2 linked regions of the Mus musculus genome follow. The protein of the gene in region 1 purifies or fractionates together with the protein of each later gene. This does not show direct contact. Links are inferred from orthologs where the notes say so. Each region holds a gene or a part of one and is shown in the gene's direction. Other genes may lie near its edges. The genes, in order: Klf11 and Sin3a.

Region 1 (11,360 bases):
TGAAGACTCACTGAGCTGTGCCTATCATTTGTGCTTTCCTGTAACCATGCTATGCTCCAGTAAAATCCACAGAGACGGACAGTTGAGAGGGGAGAGAAAGCAAAGAGGGAAGGCAGAGCCCTCAAAGCTGTTAATACTAGCAATTATGCTGATAACTGATCCTGTAGCTCTCTTTACATGTGGGCAAACAGTGGACCAGCAGGATATACTGGGAAGTGGCAAACGATCTAGATGTCCTGACTATTCAACCATAAGTGTTAAACAATTCATAACACATCCATAATGGCCTGTTATTTAACCATTACCAGGAACAGGGTTGATTTTTATGGACCAATGTGCAATAACCTCCAAGACATAATGTGAGGTCTGCAGGCTCAGAAGGTTCATAGAATGCAATCCTCCCTGCAGGACAACGTGCACACATATAGACTGCAAGCACATACAGGGGTTGGGCTTTCTGGCCTAAGGCACACTGCTCTCTCTAAAGCTCTTCTCTATAGCTATGTCCAGTCCTACCTGCTGGACTACACTGTCTCTGAGCATTGGATCATGGGGGTCTTATGAAGTCATTTAGCTTATAAAAAGATCAATATCCTCTTGAATATGAATAAGGTCAGGAGCTTGGCAGCAACAGAAGCCGGCTTGGCTGTTTGGAAGATGGACTGGATATGGGTAGACTTGGAGTCTTGTGGCTTAAGAACCATGCTCCCAAGCATCCCTGATGTCCAGGAAACACAGTGCAGAGTGAGAGAATTTCCAGGTCTCAGGAGAGCCATTGCCTTCTACCCTGTAAGAATGAAGCAGGCAGACAACAGAACTTGGGTAAGCTCACACTGCCAAAGAGGTGACTTGGGTCCAAAGCCCAAGCACATGGCTTTGTACTGAGCAGTTGCCAGGGGTCATACTGCAGACTCAGAGCGAGCAATTGGGAAGCAGTGGAGAAAGATGGGGGTTCCTGTGCACTGGAGTCAGGGCCAGAAGAATCCTGGGTAAGTTTGAATGTCCAGAGGTTTTGAGTATGGGACTGTATATTGTCCACTTTTGGAAAATCCTTCCAGCAATGAGAGGCAGATGACAGCCTGGAGGTAGGAAGTTTTGCTGGGAAAAGGTGACAATCATTCAGGTCTGTCTGTATAGCAGCCTGAGCAAGGGGAGGAGTGAGTGATGGGAACAGTTGGAGCAGTATTTTAGAAGAAACGGTGATGTCATTGGTGAAAGAACAAACACAGGAAAGGGAGGAGCTGAAGGTGAACCATGTTACTAGATCAAGAGGCAGAATGGCCAGGGCACCCTGCTGGAGCGAGGACATCAAATTAGGGTAAACACAAGTTCACTCCCAAGAATGCTGGATGAGAGCGAGAGGTACCTGAGAGGTGCTCCAGACAGAAGCCAGCAGGGTTGATAGGGCTGGTGTGATGCATTCAGTCAACAGTTACTGTGAGATGATGTGGATAGATCAGCCATGCTCCCCATCCAAGAAGAGACAGGCAGTACGCAAAGACACAGAAACACTGCAGAGCTTGCAGAGTGTATGAGGAGGTGAGGCAGAGACAGCAGTGAGGGCATGAGGTCAGTCTGAGTCCACAAGTATGCTGGGAGAGGCTGTCCAAGGAAGACGTGCCAGTAATGTCACAGCAAATGCTGAACTCTGGAGACAGCAGTTGATGGGACAGGTGACCCAGAGGAGCCCTGGCTGCTTGTCTTATTTTTCTGTTATAACAACACTTCCGAGACCAGGAAGTTTATATATAGCGTGCGCGCGCGCGCGCGCGCGCGCGTGTGTGTGTGTCCATGTGGAGCCTGGATGTGTGTGTGTGTGTGTGTGTGTGTGTGTGTGTGTCCATGTGGAGCCTGGATGTTAACCTCCAGTCTCATTTTTTGGGGGGGGGGTGTCAAGACATGGTTTCTCTGTGTAGTCCTGGCTATCCTGGAACTCACTCTGTACACCCACCAGGCTGGCCTCAAACTCAGAAATTCGCCTGCCTCTGCCTCCCAAGTGCTGGGATTAAAGGTATGAGCCACCACCGCCCAGTTCTGGTGTAATTTCTTAGGAGCCACCCACCCTGGTTCTGTCGGATTTGTTTAAGACAGAGTGTCTCATTGGGATTGGGTGTAGGGACCTTGACTTGGCCAGGCTGACTGAACAGTGAAGCCCAGTGTTTTCTGCCTGTCTGGACTTCCCCAGTGCTGGGATTACAGGTGTGTACCACCATGCCTAGCTTTTTATGTCGGTTCTAGGGGTGGACCTCGGGTCTTCTTGACGCAAGCTCTTTACCAACTGAGCCACACACCTCCACTTCCTATGTAAAAAGTCCATTCTGCTCAGAGCTCTGCAATCCAGGAAGGCTAATTCTGCTCACCCTCTGACATGTGTGTGTGTGTGTGTGTGTGTGTGTGTGTGTGTGTATGTGTGTGTGTATATGTGTGTGTGTATGTGTGAAGGGGGTCTTCCTGCTGGATTATGACACAAGAGTGTCACGTGGTCAGGTAGAGTGAGCAAACTAGCTGGTCTCTCTAATTTTAAGACCCCATAACCCTTCCTTAATCCCAATCACCCTCCAAAGGCTCCCTCTCCAAATACTATTAACATATTACTCTGGAGATTATTCTCCAACACATACGCCATAAAACCACGTGTGGAGAGAACAGGAGACAGTAGGGACGTTGGATGGGGCGGAGGCATTATAGGTAAGGGTGAACACGGGGAGTCAGAAATTCAGTGTGGGAATGAAGCAAAAACAATTTAAACAGGCCCAAGTAGAAGACTAACTCCATGTGTGTTAAATGCCCCAGTAGTTAGACATGTGAATTCACCTTTAAACACTCCTACTGTTACTTTCAACAAACTCCCTTTCTTTGGTTCACTTAATTCCATTGTCAAGCCAGTGTGAAACTGAGGAATCAGGGTTGCAACTATAACCCTTAGGCCTTACCAGCTTAAGGACAGGGCTCTCTGCCTGCCTGCCTCTCTGCCTGCTCACCTGTCTGATAAAAATAGGCAGCATAATGTCCAGCTCCTGTCTGCTCATATCAGCAATGATTCTCCCAGACCTCCACTAGTTTCAAGGCTCTGCAGTGAGGCATCAGGGGGTTAGTAGAGGGGTGCCCTATTGCTGCACTGTAGGTTGGAGGTGGGCACGACATACTGCATGCATTGACCTCTGCTCTCCAAGACTTGTGATGAGTGTACATGAATAACCGCACCTAAAGGCCCAAGGGGAAAAAACGGATACTCAGGATTTGGGTCAGGTCTCACGTAGGCCTGAGGACACCCCAAGTGGGTGTCCTTTGTATGGCCACTGGGGAGGATGCGCAGGCTTCATTAGGTACATGTCGAGTGGCTGACTACACGGCTGTAGTTCTTTTGTAGCAGAAGGCAGATTAGAGTAGGAAGAGCATTTGATCTGGCGCCATGCAGGAAAAAGCGGATGTCGTCCCTAAACCCAAGCAGCTTTCAAGCCTCTTCCTGGGCAGAGATGCGGTCCTAAGAGCCAACGACAGCTTAAAAGAAATTAGAGACAGGGTGAGGCCGTCCCTGTGGGTCCCGCCTACCAGATCCGTCCACGGCGTGGGGCCAGCGCGCGACCTCTGCGAGCAGCCCCTGCGGCAGAAGAGGACCTTACTGCGGTCGACTGCCGCCGCGCCGCCGCCGGGACCTTTCCCCTACTTTCCAGGCCTCACGCCCCGCCTCTAGCCCGGACCAAAACACGTGCCGCCGCCCGCCCCGCCGGATCACGCCGCAGCCAGGCTCCGATCACGCGCCCCCCCGCGGCGCCCATTGGCCCGCTTCTTGCCGGCCTGGCGCTGATTGGCTGGCGGCAGAGGCCATGCCCCCAGCAGGGAGCGGTGTATTTTGGTTTGCCCGCGCGCCCCGCCCAGGGCCGCTCCCTCCGTGGCGCCCCGCCCCTCCCGCGCCTCCCGGGCCGCGCGGAGGCAGAGCCGCGCGGCAAGGAAGGCGGAGGTGCGCGCCGGGAACAGACGCTCGGGACACCGCCGCCCGCCGCACACGTGCAGCCTCCGCCGCACGCAGGGCTCCTGCCTCGCAGCATTGCTGCCTGCAGGCCATACGGCACCATGCACTCGCCGGGCTCCACCGGCCCCGGCGACGGGCGCGCGGTAAGTGACGGGGCTGAGCGCGGGACGAGACGGGGGACGCGGGAGGGATGGCGACTTCTCGCTGCGGTGGGGGCTGCGGATTTGCTCTGGTCCGGACAGGGACCCGGAGGCTCGGCCGGGTCAGGGTGGGGAGGGGGGTGTGTTAGCGCGGCAGCCTGCCTTCAGCTTTGTCTCTGGTCCGCTGCGGCCCCGCCCGGCGCGGCTATTTCCAGCCATGACGTCACCCGAATCCAGAGGAGGACCGCTGTTGGATGTGGGCGCGGCTGGCGGGAACTTGGGGGCGGAGTCAAAGCTGGGGCGCAGCATGGGGGCGTGGCCAAAGCTAGGGCGTGGGCAAGCGTGCTTGGAGGAGATATTGGGGGAACTAGATGGGACCAAGGCGAAGGACATGGTGAAAGCACCTGGTAGTAGTGTAAGAGGGCGGAACCGAAGCTAGAGAGCTTGGTGAGAACCTCTGGTAGGACTGTGGGGCGGGGCCGATGTAAGAGTGCATAGTGAGAGTTTATCTAGGGGCGGGGCAAAGGCTAAGCCGAAGGGAGGGAGTGTGGTGAGAGCATCTGGTAGGAGTGCAGTGGGAGGGGCTGTGGGTGGAGCCAAAGTAAAGGTATCTCAGGAGGGTGTGGCCAGAGTGCCTGGATGGGGTTACGACGGAATGAGGAGCAAGGCAATAGTGTGTCTTGATAGGCGAGTGTGCAAGAGTGTGGTTCGAAGAGGTGTGTCAGCCAAGCTTAATGGGCTGGTAAGGGTAGAGCTGGGCGAAGGGTGGAGTCTAAGTGAGAAGGGGTGTGGTAAAATGGGACTTTGCAGGCTTGGGCCCAGGGACTGAGTGAAGTCATGGCAGGGACCTCTGTCAGAAGGTGTAGGGTGTGGAGCAACAGAACCTGATAGAAATGTAGGGGGCCAGAGAAGTGGTGCGGAGCAGGTTCCTGGTGAGAACACAGTATTACATGGACTCAAGGGAACCTACGTTCGCATTCTTTCCTAGTATGGGGCTGGACATTGATTCCACTTGAAGGCTCATAATCAAAATACCCTTCCAGGAGGTTGTCTGGCCCCTATGGTCATATCTTTGCCTGTTCAGTGAAGGGGAATCTGGACAGACAGGAAGTTTTGAAGCTCAGAAAATATGTATGGAAATATGTGTCTGTAGGCTTAAGTTTCTCTTTTGGACAGGCTAGGTTCCAGTCCCTTCCTCCCCACTCCTGCATGTAAAGGTGACATGGTATACAGGAGGAGACACCTTTCCTGGACTATGGTTGAGCTTTCTCATGCTGTTCCTCTCACCTGACCTCCTCCCTAGTTCTCATAACAAGTGATTTAATGTTTCTGAGTCTGCTGAGGAAGCAGGCAGTCACGGAGGACTGTGCTAGCATGGAACCTAGGTCCAGCCACTGGGAAATTAAGCTTGGGGTAGTGTTTCCTTTCTTAGGGACACCACTCTGGTCCTGCGCTAGATGATCTCACCCACCAGCTAACTGGCTGCTTGGTTTCATCTGCTGCTTTGCCTGTTTCCCTTTCCTACAACACCTTCCTGCTAGCCATTCTGGTGTTTACCTCTAGAGTTAATCTTCATCATTTAGCCAAGAGAAGAAGTTAGTAACCTGTTTTGTTTATTTTATAGCTGTGGGGATTGAATTCAGGTGCACACGTGAGGTAGTCAGGCATTAAACTATTGAGCAATAGCCCCGCCTTGGAACCTTTTTAAGAATCGGGGGCGGGTTTTTGTTTGTTTGTTTTATTTTGTTTTTGTTGGTTTTTTTGTTTTTGTTTTTGTTTTGTTTTTTGTGGAAACTGTTTCTCAACCAAGCCCAGTCTTCAGAGCTTGAAAACAAAGTTGTGTTGAGAGTCCCGTTTGGGTCTTTTTATTCCAAGACAGAGACCATTGCTTTGTTAAGGGTGCTGCACATGTCTATGGTAGACCCACATACCTGTCAGGGTTATCGTCCCTTTATTCTCCTGAACTAAGGAGCCACTGTGTTGTGCTGCCTTTAGGCTGACATCATGGACATTTGTGAGTCGATCCTGGAGAGGAAGCGGCATGACAGCGAAAGGTCCACATGCAGCGTCCTGGAGCAGACGGACATCGAAGCTGTGGAAGCTCTTGTCTGCATGAGCTCTTGGGGTCAGAGGTCCCAGATGAGACCCCTCACGCCTGTCTCTGACTCTGGTGACGTCACCACTGCTGTGCTTATGGACACAGCTGCACCTGATCTACCAAAGGACTTCCATTCTTTTTCAACTCTGGTAAGAGGAGGTGGGGGAGAGAAGCATTTTTGTGAACTGCCTAGAATAGCATAGGTAAAATGCGCTGGAGAACTTGGACGGAGATTAACAAATGATGCTGGCCAAGAGGTTGCCTGTACTCCTTTTATGTGGATGCCAAAGTGTGAAAATTCCTCTCTTAAATGTGCTTTCTGTTCAGTGGTAGGTCATAACTTGCTGACAGGTGCTCAGGGACAAAGCCTGTAGGTGGTTGCAGAAAGGTGTATTGTGCTTGTTTTCTAGGAGTCTTAAGGTGTGGTCTTGAGTGGTCCCAGACTAGGATGAGGATTTGTGGGAAACGAGAACACATGTGCTCTGACATCAGACAGTCTTTAGCTTAGTGGAGACACGCCACCTCTGCCTTCCTGTGACAGCCAACTAGTGTAACTTGAAGTTGGTAAACCAGTATTTTATTTTTAGGTTTTAACTTACAGCACCAGTGAAAGTGCTTCCGGGTTGGAGAAGTCAGATCGAATGCTAGCAGTAGTGCAGCTGAGGGCTGACTGCCCAGGCTAGGGACTTGCTGGAGGAGTTGGTGGCGGTGAGCACTGGAGGAAGTCCAGGCTGGCTCATAGTAGCCCTCGGGTTTTCAGGCTTGGGCTTTTATGAGGTGGCCAAGAAACTGCTGGGAGCCAGCACAGAGAGGTGTGGCTCAGGAGAACCAGTGCTTTCTTGATTTAAGGACTGAAACGTCATGAGCGCTTTTATTTTAAAGTAAGAATCCGTTTTCTTTCTGCAGTCCTTGTAGTTAAATTGCTTATTTCAGTAGTTACGCGCATGACCTAGGGTTGACACCACCCTTCCTTTCAACAAGACATATGCATGGTTGAGTAGGGACAGTCCGTATTGGGAGAAGCAGGAACAGCAGGGTCCCCAGAGATCCCTTGGGTCAGTCTGTGCAGTCCCCTCGCAGGCAGCGGGAGCAGTGCGGTCAGATAATATCTTCGCTGCTCTTTTGACCAAAACAACCTTTGATGTGGTGCTGTTCTTTCTTTCCCTTTTTCTTTTAAAAAGTGTATAACTCCTCCTCAGAGCCCAGAGCTCACGGAGCCGTCAACAGGGACCCCTGTTCCTTCCCAAGTAGTTAACTCCAAAGGATGCATGGTCACTGCCCTCCCCCCATCCCCTGCTGGGGGCCCCAGAACACTGAGCAAGAGGGAACCACTGGAGCCAGCCTCAGGGTCCTCCTGCAGGGCTGTGATGACCAGTGTGATCCGTCACACCGGGGAGAGTCCTGCTCCTACGCGCTTCCCAACTGGCCCCACTCAAGAGCAACGAGCATCCGACAGCGGAGAAGGACAGGAGCGTTTGCTGGACCACCTCGAAGCCTTGCAGGACACACGCTTGGCAAATGGCTTACTCGTCACTAACTTGGTTTCCTGTCAGCCTTGCTTGCACAAGTCCGGTGGTTCGTTCCCCACTGACAAAGGTCAACAGACAGGATGGCCCGCTGCTGTTCAGACCTGCTTACCAAAGAATCCTGAAAGTGACTTGTCAAGGAAAATCACCCCTCTGATTTCTGTCCCTGTATCCAGTCCCCCTGTCCTTTGCCAGATGATCCCTGTGGCTGGACAGAATGGCTTGTTCTCAGCCTTTTTGAAACCTCCTACCCAGTTGCCTGCAGGGACTATCAAGCCCATCCTACCCCAAGCTGCTTCAATGTCTCAGCCTGTGTTCATGGGCCCACCTGTGCCTCAGGGAACTGTGATGCTGGTCTTGCCACAGAACACCTTCCCCCAGCCTGCTGCCTGTCCATCCAGTGTCATGGCCATTGGAAATACCAAGCTGTTGCCCCTTGCCCCTGCACCAGTGTTCCTTGCCTCCAGCCAGAACTGTGCCCCTCAGGTAGACTTTTCCCGAAGGAGGAACTATGTTTGCAACTTCCCAGGATGCCGGAAGACCTACTTCAAAAGTTCCCACCTTAAAGCTCATCTTCGCACTCACACAGGTAAGTGGTAGGGTGTAGAAGTTAAGTCCGGTTCTTTCTCTCAGCCCCTTGCTCCCAGAAATAGGACTCAGACTCAAATTATGTTTACAAATACCTTGGCCATATAGCTGAGCTCTACTCTGACTAGATCATAACTTAGATAACCCAATTATTTTAACCTACATTCTGCCACATGGCTCGGGTACCATGTCTACCTCAACTACTGAGGATGTATATATCAGTTCTCAGTGAAACCAGCTCATTTCAAGTGCATGTGGCTAGTGGCTTCCCTAATGGCCAGAGAATATAGTAGATCTTCCCAGGTGAATCTCCCGCCTGGCTCTATCCCAGAATTCTTCCCAGAAGTCCTACCTCCTATTTCCTACCTAAGCCATAGGCCATCGGATTATTGACAGGTACCACATCCATACAGACATAAAATATTCTTTCTACAGTGGGGTGCCTGGTGTGATGGGAACACAGCTCAAGGGAGGAAAGCTCCCTGAGACCCCTTTAAGAGAGGCAGGTACCTGCCGGAGGGAGGAGAGAATGGGGACTTGAGATGGCTTTAGGATACTCTTCACCCTACTACAGTAGGCGTTAGTAAAAACATCGGTGTGACTGGAGGTGTGTTCAGACCCTCAAAGTTCATACTATAGAGTGTTTTAACTGTACGGTTGAAACTGTAGAGTTTTAGGTTAAGTCACACAGTTATAAACTTCTGAGTTTATTTTTTTTAACATTCTCTGGCCATTAGGATAGCCACTAGCCATATGCACTTGAAAAGGGGTGGTTTGAGAACTGCATTGCACATTCTCATTAGTTGATGTTTTACAGCTCTGTGAGCTGGTGACTGCCAGCCATGCTGTCCAGCAGGGACACTGGGCGCCACCTGGCAGGAATCACTTGGTAGAGTAGAGCAAGTGTTTCTTAGGTGCTCTGTGAGTTGATGTGTTTGGCATTTTTTAGTGGTTACATAGTCTAGTCTTCTTGTTAAAGCTGACTTTAGAGAATCACGTATTTACATGTGAGCATGTGTACAGACGTCTGCAGTAGAGCTTCCTACACTCAACCCTGAAACATCACCCCATTAGGATGTCTGGATCGAGCACAGGAAAGGCCTGGAGAGAGTTCCTGCTGCAGGTTTTTATTTCAAAATAGGTTGATGCAGGCTGGCTTCTAATTAGCACAGTGTACTCCGGCTGTGGCAGACTCCAGAAGCAGACATTCCAGAAAGAATTGTCCCTTCATATGCTGAAGCCGAGGTCGGCTTTAGGATTCGGACCTTACAGCTGTCCTGGACTTGTCTCCTTGTCAGAGCAAACACAGGCTCTTTTGTTCTCATCTGTCTGTTTCCACACATCAGCCTCAGCCCTCTCCCATCTCTGCCTATTGATCCTTTCAGGGCCTGCCCCACAAAGGTTGAGTGTATGTTGATATCCATCCTCTTTGACCCTAGGGAGTTATTGTGTCTCACCACCACTTCCTTTGTTTCTTCACTTCTGCTTTGTTTTTACAATTTTAGGATTTTTAAATTATTATTATCATTATCACTACTACTACTCCTATTTTGGTTTTGGTTTTTTAAGACAGTGGTTTTTTTTTTTTTCTCTGTAGTCCTGGCCATCCTGGAACTTGCTCTATATACACCAGGCTAGCCTTGAAATGCACCTACCTCTGCCTCCTGAGTACTGAGATTAAAGAGGTGTGCTGCCACACCCATTATGTTTCTGTGTGTGAGTATGTGCATGTGAGCGCAGCGGCCTGTAGATTTGACCCCTGGAGCTGGAGTTACATGTGATTGTGAGTTGCCACTGTAAGTCCTGGGGTCTGCTGTATGTGTGATGTAAGAGCAGCAAGCATGCTAAATCGTGATGCCCACCCCCACCCCTTGTTTTATCGTCTAAACTAGATAGAGAATTCCTGGTGTCACACCTTGTAAATGGTGGTCATCCACCTTTGTCAAGGTTGTTCTGGTAGCTGTGTGTAATGAAGAAGCAACCTGCTATGTTCACATGGGTTCTTTGGCAGGGTGAACCCCCATTTTTTGCTTGGTCTGTCTAGATGAACTTTACATCAGCGCAGATTGTAGGTTGGGAGAGGTGACAGGGTTTCCATGTTCACTCAGTTTCCCTAGGTAGGAGGACTGTCAGACCCACAAAACCCGAGATAAAGCCAGTTCCTTCTCAGAGAAGTTCAGTTCAGATTAAACAAGCGGGAGGCTCTGACGAGACCGCTGCTTTTCCATTCACCAGCTCTCCGTGGAGTCTTCCAAGGCACGGAAGCTTCAGGTGGGCTTACTTCAGATTGTGTTTCAAGTATTTCTTTTAACCAGAACGATTATTTACATGAAGAAAGTCAGGTGAATGGGTACACCATTTTGGCTGAATACAAGGAATTTTGTAAATCGTGTGCCAAGGGGCTGGCATTCTCTGTGCACCTCCCGGGCATTGTGTATGCTACTGACCTCGGGAGCAGGGGTAGGAAGGGCAGCTGTCTGCGCCTGCTTCTGGTAAAGAATACTCCACCAGGCTCCAGGCTCTGGAGCTGGGAGTCTAAAAGCATGTGTCACTCAGTTATCTGTAAGATCTTCCCAGTGTGGCAGAGACTATCATCTAGTGTGGCTGAGAGCTTGCTTTTATAACAAGGCCACTACTGGGACTCTTGTTAGTCAGGACCAGTCAGTGATCAATGATCCTACTACCTCTTAAGTATCAGTGATGTATGACTTTAGAATTGCATTTCCAAGGGGTGGAGTTTGGGGTCATAATCAAACCACATCAGCCACCTTTGCTTGCCATGGAAGATTTTGAAATCCAGAATATGAAGCCTCGCTGCTGGATTTTCTGTTAGTTCAACTCTAAGATCTATCAGACTTGGTGTCTCTTCAGACCTAGTATTGGCTACCTGCTATAGGAAATCATGGAGACAGATCACAGAGCAGTGCATAGCTGTCTAGCAAATCATCCCTCGTGCACGCAGTCTATGATTGCCATCGTCAGGATACAGAGAAGGGCCTGGTCCCGTGCTGGTTGGAACAGGAGTTTGTTGAAGA
Region 2 (11,260 bases), on another chromosome or scaffold:
TAACACCCTTGGAGGCACGTCCGAAGTCATCCATCGAAAAGCACTCCAGAGGATATATGCTGACAAAGCAGCTGATATCATCGATGGCCTGAGGAAGAACCCCTCCATTGCTGTTCCGATTGTCCTTAAAAGGTATGTATCTTCTGGCTTTTGTGTGCTGTGTGACAGGTTCAGTGTCCCATTAAATAGGGCTCTAGTTTTCTACCTGAGTATCTAATTGGAATTTCAGTTCTTTCCTCAGTAGCTCAACACTAGGGATAGAGTAGAATGGCAGAACATACGTTAGGGGTTTTGTGGAACAAATGGAACAGATGTTGACAGGTGAGGGTGAAAGACTTGAGGTGCAGCTCGGTGGTCGAGTGCTTGCCTATCATGCATGAGTCCTGAGTTCACACAGAGAAAGCCTGATGAGTGTATGGTAGAGTGTAGTGCGTTCACATTTCAGGGTTGGGCTTTGTTTCTGTTGGTAGAAGGGAACTTAGGACTGTTTGTATACTATGCTTGATAGGGAAATACTTTACCCTACCCCAGACCGCAGGCGTTTGAGGGACTGTGATGTGTGTATGTGTCGGGGTGTGTATGGTGTGTGTATGTGATGGCTCAGAATGAGTTCAAACCTGCAATCTTCCTCCCTCACCACATGCCCTCTCTAGGAAACTTGCGTTTCCATGAGCACAGTAAAGATTCTGAGTCATAACAAAGAAGCAAGTTGCTTTAGTTAGTTGGGAGAACTAGTTTTTTGAGAATACTCCCCAAAACCAGATGTGGTTCATGCCTATAGTCCTCACATTAGGGAGGCAGACTCAGGAAGATTGCTGTAAGTTTGATAGTAGCTTGGTCTACATCATGAATTTTAAGTCATCCAAATTTTCAAATAAGGTCTTGTCTCAAAAATGGTTTCATGCTCCCTCTTAAAAACCCCATTGGTGATACCACTCACTTTGTGAATATTCATGGCAGCCAAATTTGACTTCTTTGCCTATAATGTCAGGATTGGGGAAGTAGAAGGCAGATTGCCATAGATTTTTAGATTAGTGTGGTCTATATACATTTTCCAGTAAGACTTGTATCACAAAAATAAGCTCCCTTAAGAAAAAAACCTCACTTGGATAACACCAAGGACATTTTTTGAAGCACCAACAGCATAGGTCTGAGTTTTCATCAAGTGTAGTAAGCCCGCGACACACTCCCGCATTTAACCCTCTCGATTCCCACATGCTGTACTTGTATCCCTTCTCACCTGCTAGGTTGAAGATGAAAGAAGAAGAGTGGCGAGAAGCTCAGAGAGGCTTCAACAAGGTCTGGCGAGAGCAAAATGAGAAGTACTACTTGAAGTCTCTGGATCACCAAGGCATCAACTTCAAGCAGAACGACACTAAGGTCTTGAGGTCTAAGAGCTTACTCAATGAGATCGAGAGCATCTATGACGAGGTGAGCTGGCTGACCGTACAGCTCCCTCAGCTCTGCTTTTTTGTGTTCAGCCTTGCTTTGACTTCTACAGTTAACTAAGAACTGCCAGTTCTTGTATCATGGTCTACCGTCTTAAACCTACTACTCACCGATTCACTCAGTTCTTCCTCTGGTTTCCCAGTTTACCATTCTGCCTTTAATGTACACTCTTCTTTTTTTTTTTTTTTTTTTTTTTCCATTTTTTATTAGGTATTTAGCTCATTTACATTTCCAATGCTATACCAAAAGTCCCCCATATCCACCCACCCCCACTCCCCTGCCCACCCACTCCCCCTTTTTGGCCCTGGTGTTCCCCTGTACTGGGGCATATAAAGTTTGCAAGTCCAATGGGCCTCTCTTTCCAGTGATGGCTGACTAGGCCATCTTTTGATATATATGCAGCTAGAGTCAAGAGCTCCGGGGTACTGGTTAGTTCATAATGTTGATCCACCTATAGGGTTGCAGATCCCTTTAGCTCCTTGGCTACTTTCTCTAGCTCCTCCATTGGGAGCCCAATGTACACTCTTCTAACAAGACCTGGCATCTCCTCTACCTCACTTAAAAAGTGGTAGTAACCCTGTTATTCTGCTCACTTAGCAGGGGTATGGATGGCACTTGGAGCAAAGACTCAGAGATAAATGTGAAATTGGTCTTGCTTTTTGTGACCTGCCTTAGGAGGTAGGAAGCATAAGTGACATCTATCAGGCTTTCAAAAGCTGGCCCTGAGTTTTAAAGAATAAAAATAGTAAGTGAACTTTAACAAACACTTAATTGTTTATCTTTGATAATTTGTTAACCTTTACATGAGAAATTCTTTTTTTTTTTTTAATACTTTTTATTAGGTATTTTCCTCATTTACATTTCCAATGCTATCCCAAAAGTCCCCCATACCCTCCCTCCCACTCCCACTTTTTGGCCCTGGCGTTCCCCTGTACTGGGGCATATAAAGTTTGCAAGTCCAATGGGCCTCTCTTTCCAGTGATGGCCGACTAGGCCATCTTTTGATACATATGCAGCTATAGTCAAGAGCTCCGGGGTACTGGTTAGTTCATAATGTTGTTCCGCCTATAGGGTTGCAGATCCCTTTAGCTCCTTGGGTACTTTCTCTAGCTTACATGAGAAATTCTACCCCAGTATTTTAAGTGCTAAATCTGGAATTTTAAAGGTAATTCTCTTAAGTCTTCAATATATAGAAGGCACTAATCTTTTTATATCAAGCCAATTTGTCCATAGTACTTATGAATATTTGGAAGAGAGACAAACATTATTAAGGTTAACTCTTGTATTTCAGATTAAGTAGCCACTGTCATGTCTCTGTCTAAGCCCAAACTGGCCTAGAATCTTGTACCCTTCCTGGCTTATTCTCCCAAAGGATGTAACTACAGATAGGTGCCACAGTGCCTAAAGTGCATTTTGGTTAATAATAAAAATGTGCTGCTAATGTACTCTTTGTTTGTTTTGAGACAGGGTATTTCTATGTATCCCTTCCTGTCATGGAACTTGCTCTGTAGACCAGGTTGGCCTTGAACTCATGGATCTGCTGGCCTCTGCCTCCTGGGTACTAAGTTTAAAGGCATTTCCCACCACTGCTCAGCATTTCTGGTATAGTATTGTAGGTTTGTTGTTGCTGTATACATGTCACACAATGCTTTTATGTCTGTTCCATCAGAGGCAAGAGCAGGCTACAGAAGAGAACGCTGGTGTACCTGTTGGCCCGCACCTCTCTCTTGCCTATGAAGACAAACAGATACTAGAAGATGCTGCTGCTCTGATTATCCACCATGTGAAGAGGCAAACAGGCATTCAGAAAGAGGACAAATACAAAATCAAGCAAATCATGCACCATTTCATTCCTGACCTGCTGTTTGCTCAGAGAGGCGATCTCTCAGATGTGGAAGAAGAGGAGGAGGAAGAAATGGATGTGGATGAAGCAACAGGAGCACCTAAGAAGCACAATGGTGTTGGGGGCAGCCCCCCTAAGTCCAAGTTGCTATTTAGTAACACAGCAGCTCAAAAGTTAAGAGGGATGGATGAAGTATATAACCTTTTCTATGTCAATAACAATTGGTATATCTTTATGCGACTGCATCAAATTCTCTGCTTGAGGCTGCTACGGATTTGTTCCCAAGCTGAACGGCAAATTGAAGAAGAAAACCGAGAGAGAGAATGGGAACGGGAGGTGCTAGGCATAAAGCGAGACAAGAGTGATAGTCCTGCCATACAACTACGTCTCAAGGAACCTAGTGAGTGCTTAGACTGTCAGCTTTATGCATGGGGTAGATGGCTGGCTTCAAGGCCACCTTACCTTGAAGTACACTTAGTCCTTAGATTGGAACTAGGGTTCGTATCCTACCTCTGCAACTTAGCTGGTTGTGTAACCTTCCTTGAACCCATGAATGAAACCCCCCCCCCAAAAAAAAAAAAATGGAGGCAGTATTTGTCACTTTCTGTGGTTGCTTGAGGGCTTAAGAAAGATGCAAGCATGGAACCTTGTACAGTATCCGGTTCATGGTCATGTGAGGTGTTTAGTTTGCACTGTGGACACATGAGGGACGTGGGATCCATTGGCTAGGTTAGTGAGCAGTGGTTCAGATGAGAAAGAAACGTCACAGTTCTTTCTATTCATAACATAGAAATTCCTTGTTATGCTTATGGCACATAAGGAATCTTTTCAGATGTGTGTTAGCATCTCCTTAATGGGCTTCTTGGTTCATTCCTGATATTTCTGAAGAGGAATTGGCACTCAAGATGGTTTGAGACAAGGCAAAGGGATAGACAGGATTCAAGGGAAAGGAAGCCCAGAGGCTCATTTAAGAAGCTAGCTATCATTGGCTGTATGCTGGGTTCTGCCGCCTCCTTCCACATAATGCTTTCATTCTGAAGTTGGGTGCTTAACCTGTGAGCCAGACACATCCTCACAGGCTTCCCTTCTTTGCTCTTCACGAAATAGTAAATAACTGCTGTAGGAGTCCTGTGTATAAACCTAGTTTCTTATCTGTTGAACTAATAGCACCAGGAATCTGTTTGAAAAGCCTTTATCTGTTTTAGTCCTAGCTTGGAAGAAACAAGTAGAATTTACAAATATAAATCTGGGCTTGATCACTGTCTTATCCTGGACTTATGCTGAAGCAGCTTATTCTTGAGTGATAGTGCCAACTTCATGCCAGTCATAGTTTGTGGCTATAAATCTGTGGTTTGGACTCTTATCCTAGTATATTTTAAAGGCTAGCTCCCTGCTTCCTGGGCTTAGACAAAGTGATGTAGTGTGACACAACTCAAACCAGTAACTTGTTTTAAGCAGTGATTGTTCGTTTTTGCCTGTAAGATCCACCCCATTTGTCCCCTTTCTAATTTCTCCTTACTAATGGATGGCCAGTAATCAGTAAGTGTACTTTTTGTAGTTAACATTTTTGATCAAATTTTTATTGATGTGCAACCTGTATGCAAAAAGGAACACAAATGAGAATCTGCATTTGTGTGGGGTGCATGTGCCTTATGTGCAAGGAGGCTAGAAAAGGCTATGGCCACTGTGTTATGTACCTTCCTTCTCGAGACAGCGTCTCACTGAGCCCCCTAGAGATCCTCCTCTCTGCTGACCTTCACAGTGCTAAGGTGACAGGTGGTGACAGCCAGGCTTTCACATGAGTGCTGGGGCAGGGGCTCTTATCCACTGAACCGTATCTCCTGCCCCACAAATAGAATTTTATGGCTCTAAATTTTTCTATAATGAGCATACTTTAGTCAAAAAAAGAGGTCAAGAAAATAAAGCCAAGCCCCAGTAACTTCTTTGTTCTACTATTTTGGTTTTCAGACTTAGAAATGAGTTTTTTTTGTATTTGAGAGTGGGTCTACTGCTATAAAATGCTCACTGTCCCAGAACTTGTTTTGTGGCCTAGGCTGGCCCAGCAATCCCCTTGCCCCTGGGATTATGTACATACATACATACGTACATACATATGTACATACATACATACATGAGCTCCTGGTGCCCTTCTTAGTTACTATGTCCTTTTACTAGTAAGATTCACTCCAGCTACTGGTTAAATGTTTCATGTGCAACAAATACAATTCATCTAATGTAATTACTGGAGTTCAGTGTTGCAAATCTATTTTAAGCAAAGGGACTGTGATACAATCAGAGTTATTCATTTTCATAGAGGGGTTAATTTGAATAACTTCTGTAGCCAAGAGTTCCAAGTGTGGTAGCATCTACCTATGCCTGTCTTCTCTTGTCCATACTTTATTCTTCATTGAGGTACACTCATGAGCAACTGTCCCCTTTGTGAAATGGTTTTGTGTAAGTGAAGGAGCCAGCAACTTGAAGGACTCTCTTGGGATATTTTGCTCTCAGGTGACAGAACTCAGCAGTGCTCAAAGTGTCTTTTTAGCAGTCAGTCTGTGCTGGAAGCGACTGTTAGAAGTTGCAGAGTCACTGTTGGTTCTTCGATGGACAGTTCTGGTGATTATAGCTGCCTACTAGATGTCATCTCTGTAGTGGGTTAAGTTGGACATGTTTTTGCATATCTGGTATTTTGTCCTTTCAGATGGTATATAGGCCAGCTGTGGGATTCTGTATTCTCTGTCCTCGAGCTTGTCTTAGCAGAGTACAGTCTTACCTGTCTAATCTTTCCTGTAGTGGATGTTGATGTAGAAGATTATTACCCAGCTTTCCTGGACATGGTGCGGAGCCTGCTTGATGGCAACATAGACTCATCACAGTATGAAGATTCACTGAGAGAGATGTTCACCATTCATGCCTACATTGCCTTTACTATGGACAAATTAATCCAGAGCATCGTCAGACAGGTGAGAGGGTGTGTTGGAGGTTAGCGCTACCAAGGGAAGGTGTTCTCAGCTAAAAGTCACAAAGGAAAAGCAAGATTTCTATGGGAAAAGGAAAAGCAGCTTAACCATATATATAGCAGTGTTTATAAACATATGTCTTTGAAGTGGAAAGGACCAAGTTAACATGAAGTCTTGTGTGGCTTCTCCTTCAGAGACAATAACAAACATCCCTTTGATACACTGACAGCAAACCAAAGAAATGATTCTAGTTAAGTCTTAGTGAGCCATTATGTGTGTTGGGGTCACTTAAGGAACATGAGCAACCCAAAGGCAGTGCAGTGAAAAGCCCACTGTACACAAAACCTGAGTCTTTGAAGCTCCTGCACAGCCAGAGGGCAGCTTGACCTATGGGAGAGAGTACTTTCCCCAGAAATTGTTTCTCCTTTTAGAAGAGGATCAGAAATTCAAGTTCATCCTTGGTGGGGATGGGTGTGGAGATGGTTTCTAATTTAAATTTCAGGGGATTTCTGAATTTTCTATTTCCTTTATTTCCTGAACCTTGTACATTTTGTTTACTTTATGAGTCTGGTGTTACTGCTCAGAGAGGATAGCTCAATAAGTCTCTCTCCAGCTCACAGAACTGGACTCTTCCAGCCCTGGAATTGGTTCTTAGGTTCTCAATGTGCCCCTCCTCAGAGCCTGTCCTAACAGCCATTTGTCTAGAACACAGTCCTACCTCTTTATTTATCCAAGAAGAAAGCATAGGTGTAGCTTAGCCTTTTCCATAGATGACAGTGATTCTGTTTATTTGCCTCATTTAGTATTAAAAGTCCTGTACAGTGCTCTGCCCACCTCATTATCTGAGACTCAGTGTTAGATTTGTGGTTGCTTTTATGTTTTGTTCCTGGAAATTTTAAATATGTGGAGTTGTTTGTAACAGGATCTCACTATGTTGTACTGTCTGACTGAGAACTAATCCTGTGTACTTCCTGAGTACTGAGATTATAGGTGTGAACTACAACGCCCAGCCAATGTGATACTTTCTAACTGTCATCCTTCTGACAGGGAGCATCCTTGTCTCGGGGTTTCTGTGGCGGCATTGTTGGCCTCCCTACTGAGGAGTAGGAAAAGCCAGTAAAATAAATGTTTCATAAACCCTATGTTATTTTTAAATAGATAATTCATTTATTTAGAAGAATCTGGTTATAAATTTATGTTAACGCTGTCAACATATTTTTAAGAACTGGAAATGGGAGTTGCCTCCAGAACCCACAACCATGAGTTTTTAAGACATGTTTAAGCTTTTCATTTGAACTCTTCAGTGAGTTTTGTCTGATTATGTTTTCTTTTTATTTGGTGGTCCCTTTGGTTGAACAAATATCAAGGTCAGGCCATATATTCGTCTTAATTTTCTCAGGCTGGGGCTTTATTTAGCTCAATTGGTAGAGTTAATTGCCAAGCATGACAAAGCCCTGGGTTGGATTTTCTGTACCCCATAAAATGGGTGTGGCACTACTCACCTCAGCGTTTGGAGGAAGAAGCCAGAGGAACAAAATGTGAAGGCCATCCGCGGCTACATAGGGAGTTCAAGGGCAGTTCCCCATACATAAGATCTCTCCAAACCAAGAATTCTAAGTAGGCAGGCTCAGTCATCTTAGCTACAGAACCATGATACAATGTCATCCTGTGAAGCCTTGACTAGGAACGCTTCCCTTCGTCCCAGGCTTCTCCACTCTAGTGCTTCTCTGCACGTGGACACTCAGCATATCAGCATACACTTCCGGCCTCTCCATCCCTCGAGACTTGAGCACCTCTGGGCTTGGTATTACCTAGCTTTCCCATGCGGTGCTTCTCTTTAACAGCAACAACAAAAATCTTGGAAAAATCATCCCTACATCATTTCTGGTTACCTGATGAAATACTTAATGTATGGCTGTACATACCCCATCGTTGTCTCTGGATTTGTAATGCTTCCATTTCTAAAGATTCTGAGAGAGGCAGATACCTAAAAGAGGATGTGAATAGAGGGTCAGTGGTACATAGTCACACGGAGAGAACTCATGTCTTGGCTAGACTGACTTTTCTCACTCTTCTCCCCCACTTAAAACTCTGTGACGCTTTCACTGTCTTTATCAAGTCATAACATTCCTTACTTCAATGGTATTGTCCAAGTCTTTTATACTTCACAAAGACTGTATCTTCCTAAAAAATAGAATGGCGTAGTAACCATGATAACATGAGATTAACTAAGTAAAATTGATGAGTCAGTATTGAAATTTACATTTTTGCTTCTCTGCTTTTTAGGGACCAGTTGGTTTGGTGTTAGGCACTGAATGTAAGACTTTGTGCTTGCTAGGCAAGCCTCATTTCCTGACTTTAAAGGTTTTCTTGTTTTGCTGTATGTGTATGTGGAAATCGGAGAATAACTTACGAGAGTGGGCTCTCCTGCCACTGCGTGAATTTCAGGGCTAAACTGAAGTTGACAGTTTTACCCTCTGCGCCATTTCTTAGGGGACTTTTAATTTCACAATAAGAATAGTAGAGTGGGAATGGATGTTACCCACTGTGGCATTTGTTGTGGCCTGAGCTGGTCCCAGCAGCCTTTGTAGAGTTAATATAAGGCACTGAGTCTCTGCTAAGCCTTGTCTCCTCCCCTCAACAACAAAACAGGTTCACAGTTTCCAACACGTTTACCTTCTATGAAAAATGAGCAGTTAGGCCAAGGATATAACTTTACATAGTCCTGGGTTTCATATAACTCAGTCTTGGAAAAAAAATAGAGTTAACATGTACAATTTGAGGGTTATTCTGTGTGAATGCACTAATTAGTGGCCTGCTAGTGAGGACGCTACCTTGGTGCAGGAGCTTGACCTTGAGGCTTGGTCTGCTCTTTAGTTGAATTCATGGGGGCAGGTGACGCTGCACCAGTTGCTTTTTTGTTTTTGAGACAGGGTCTATACATAGGCCTGGGTGTCCTGGAACTCACTATGTAGACCAGACCAGTATTGAGCTCAGTGATTGCCTGCCTATGCTGGGATTAAAGTGTGGGCCATCATACCTGGTGTCTGCTGCAACTTTTAAGTTTAGGAATCCTAGATTGAGCCTAGCAAGTAGCTCAGCAGCTAAAAGCACTTGTAGTTCTTGTCAGCACCCACGTGGACGTCCATGTCCTCCTGTAACTCCAGTTCCAGGGAAACCAGTGTTTTCTTCCAGCCTCTGTCTATGGGCACCAGGCATAATATAGCTGACACACCACAAGCTTACACACAAAGCACATAAAGAAAAATAACAAATATTTATTTAAAAATAAAATCAGATGAATCTTGTTTTCAGAATTCTTTGAGATACCTGTCTTAACTCCAAGTCTCAAAAGTTTTAATGTCTTAACACAAAAAAATTTCTCACAATGGGACATCCCTCCATTCCAACATGGTTCACAGGGTAATTGTAGATTGGATAAGAAATACATGTGAAACAAGATTGTAAACAGTTTAAAAGTACATGGAGAGGGGACACACACCATGGAGCCTGGTAAGGTGGTGCATACCTGTAGTCCCAGTATTTGGGAGGTGATAGTACTTAGCTTCTTAAATTAAAAAAAAAAAAAAAAAACAAAACATGTTTGTAAGCTGCCTGCGGACAGGAGAATCGGCCCTGGCTCACTGGCCGGCCTGTGCTTTGTTCCAGCTACAGCACATCGTCAGCGACGAGGTCTGTGTGCAGGTTACTGATCTTTACTTGGCAGAAAACAATAACGGAGCCACGGGAGGCCAGCTCAACAGTCAGACTTCAAGGAGCCTTCTGGAGTCAGCATACCAGCGGAAGGCAGAGCAGCTTATGTCAGATGAGAACTGCTTCAAGGTAAGAGCCGCTCATCGAACCGTGGACCCCAGTGCTGCTGGCTAGACTGGTACAGGCTGGACTGGGGTGTGAGCCATGTAACCTGAGCAACCATTTACTAGCAAACTCGTACTAGCAAATGTTTACTGATTTTTTTTTTTTTTTTTTTTTTTTTTGGTTAGGATTGATTTTTATGATTTTTATGCTTTCTCTTCATGTGTTTGTCCATCACCTGAATGGAATGTCCCCAGAGGCCAGAGGCCTCTGTCCTGTCCTGGAATTGAGTTAGACCATGTGGTTCTGGGAGTCAAATCCAGGTCCTCAAGTAGAGCACCCAGCACTCCGCCATCTCTGCAGTCCCATTTCTACCTTACCATCACCAGCTTTTCAGTACCTTTCATATCTCTTCCTTTGGAACAAATTGTATAATTTACCTTTCTACTTACACTGTGACAATCTAGGTTTATAGCCTTGAAATTTTAGGGTTTGTTTGTTTGTTTGTTTGTTTTGTTTACACTTTGCTTCTTTTTTGCAGCTAATGTTCATTCAAAGTCAAGGTCAAGTTCAGCTGACTGTTGAGCTCCTGGACACAGAAGAGGAGAACTCAGATGACCCCGTGGAAGCAGAGGTGTGGACAGTATGTTTCAGAGCTTGTCTGCTCACCCTGAATTCTGATGGGCTGTAGCTCCTTAGGATGTTTGTGATTTTGTTTTTAGGGTTTATTTGTGTGTGTGTGTGCATTGTGGGTGTGTTCAAAGGACTAAAGTCCTCTAAAGAGCAGCCAGTGCTCTTAACTACTGAGCCATTTCTCCAGCCCCTCCATAGGTTTTAAGTGTCAGGATGTTTAGAGCGCAGGCTATATCACTCCCTTTGGAGGCTCTAGTGGTAGTAGCCATTTAGAGTCAATGCCCCCTTTTCATCCTTAATAATGTGGGTAACAGCTTTGCTGGCCTTTTCTTTTTGTTTTTCTTCCTAAATAGCAGTAAACATGGTTCTTTTGTTTTGTGGTATCATTTGATACAGCCTCATGTTTACTTTTTAGTAATAGCCAGGCTACATAGATGATAGAATAAGACAGTTTGGCTTACATTTCCAAAAACTTTGCTTCAAAAGCTGCCAGAATTCTACATATTAATGTGGGAGATTTTCCGTGACACTATTTTACCATTTCTTCAGATTATTTTTG

The links.
Region 2: the proteins of Klf11 (region 1) and Sin3a purify together in Homo sapiens (affinity purification with western blotting, with the first as the bait; 3 studies listed by BioGRID). This does not show direct contact. The link is inferred for Mus musculus from reciprocal best matches to the Homo sapiens genes KLF11 and SIN3A.

What each region holds. Positions count from the first base shown.
Region 1 is NC_000078.6:24,647,451-24,658,810, forward strand, and holds the start of Klf11 (Krueppel-like factor 11), read left to right. Parts: upstream 1-3,920; 5' UTR 3,921-4,074; coding exon 4,075-4,116; intron 4,117-6,108; coding exon 6,109-6,360; intron 6,361-7,392; coding exon 7,393-8,326; intron 8,327-11,360. UniProt on the Homo sapiens protein: Transcription factor. Activates the epsilon- and gamma-globin gene promoters and, to a much lower degree, the beta-globin gene and represses promoters containing SP1-like binding inhibiting cell growth.
Region 2 is NC_000075.6:57,107,461-57,118,720, forward strand, and holds part of Sin3a (paired amphipathic helix protein Sin3a), read left to right. Parts: coding exon 1-132; intron 133-1,247; coding exon 1,248-1,431; intron 1,432-3,118; coding exon 3,119-3,692; intron 3,693-6,085; coding exon 6,086-6,255; intron 6,256-9,921; coding exon 9,922-10,095; intron 10,096-10,609; coding exon 10,610-10,702; coding exon of another isoform or gene 10,703-10,711; intron 10,712-11,260. UniProt on the Homo sapiens protein: Acts as a transcriptional repressor. Corepressor for REST. Interacts with MXI1 to repress MYC responsive genes and antagonize MYC oncogenic activities. Also interacts with MXD1-MAX heterodimers to repress transcription by tethering SIN3A to DNA.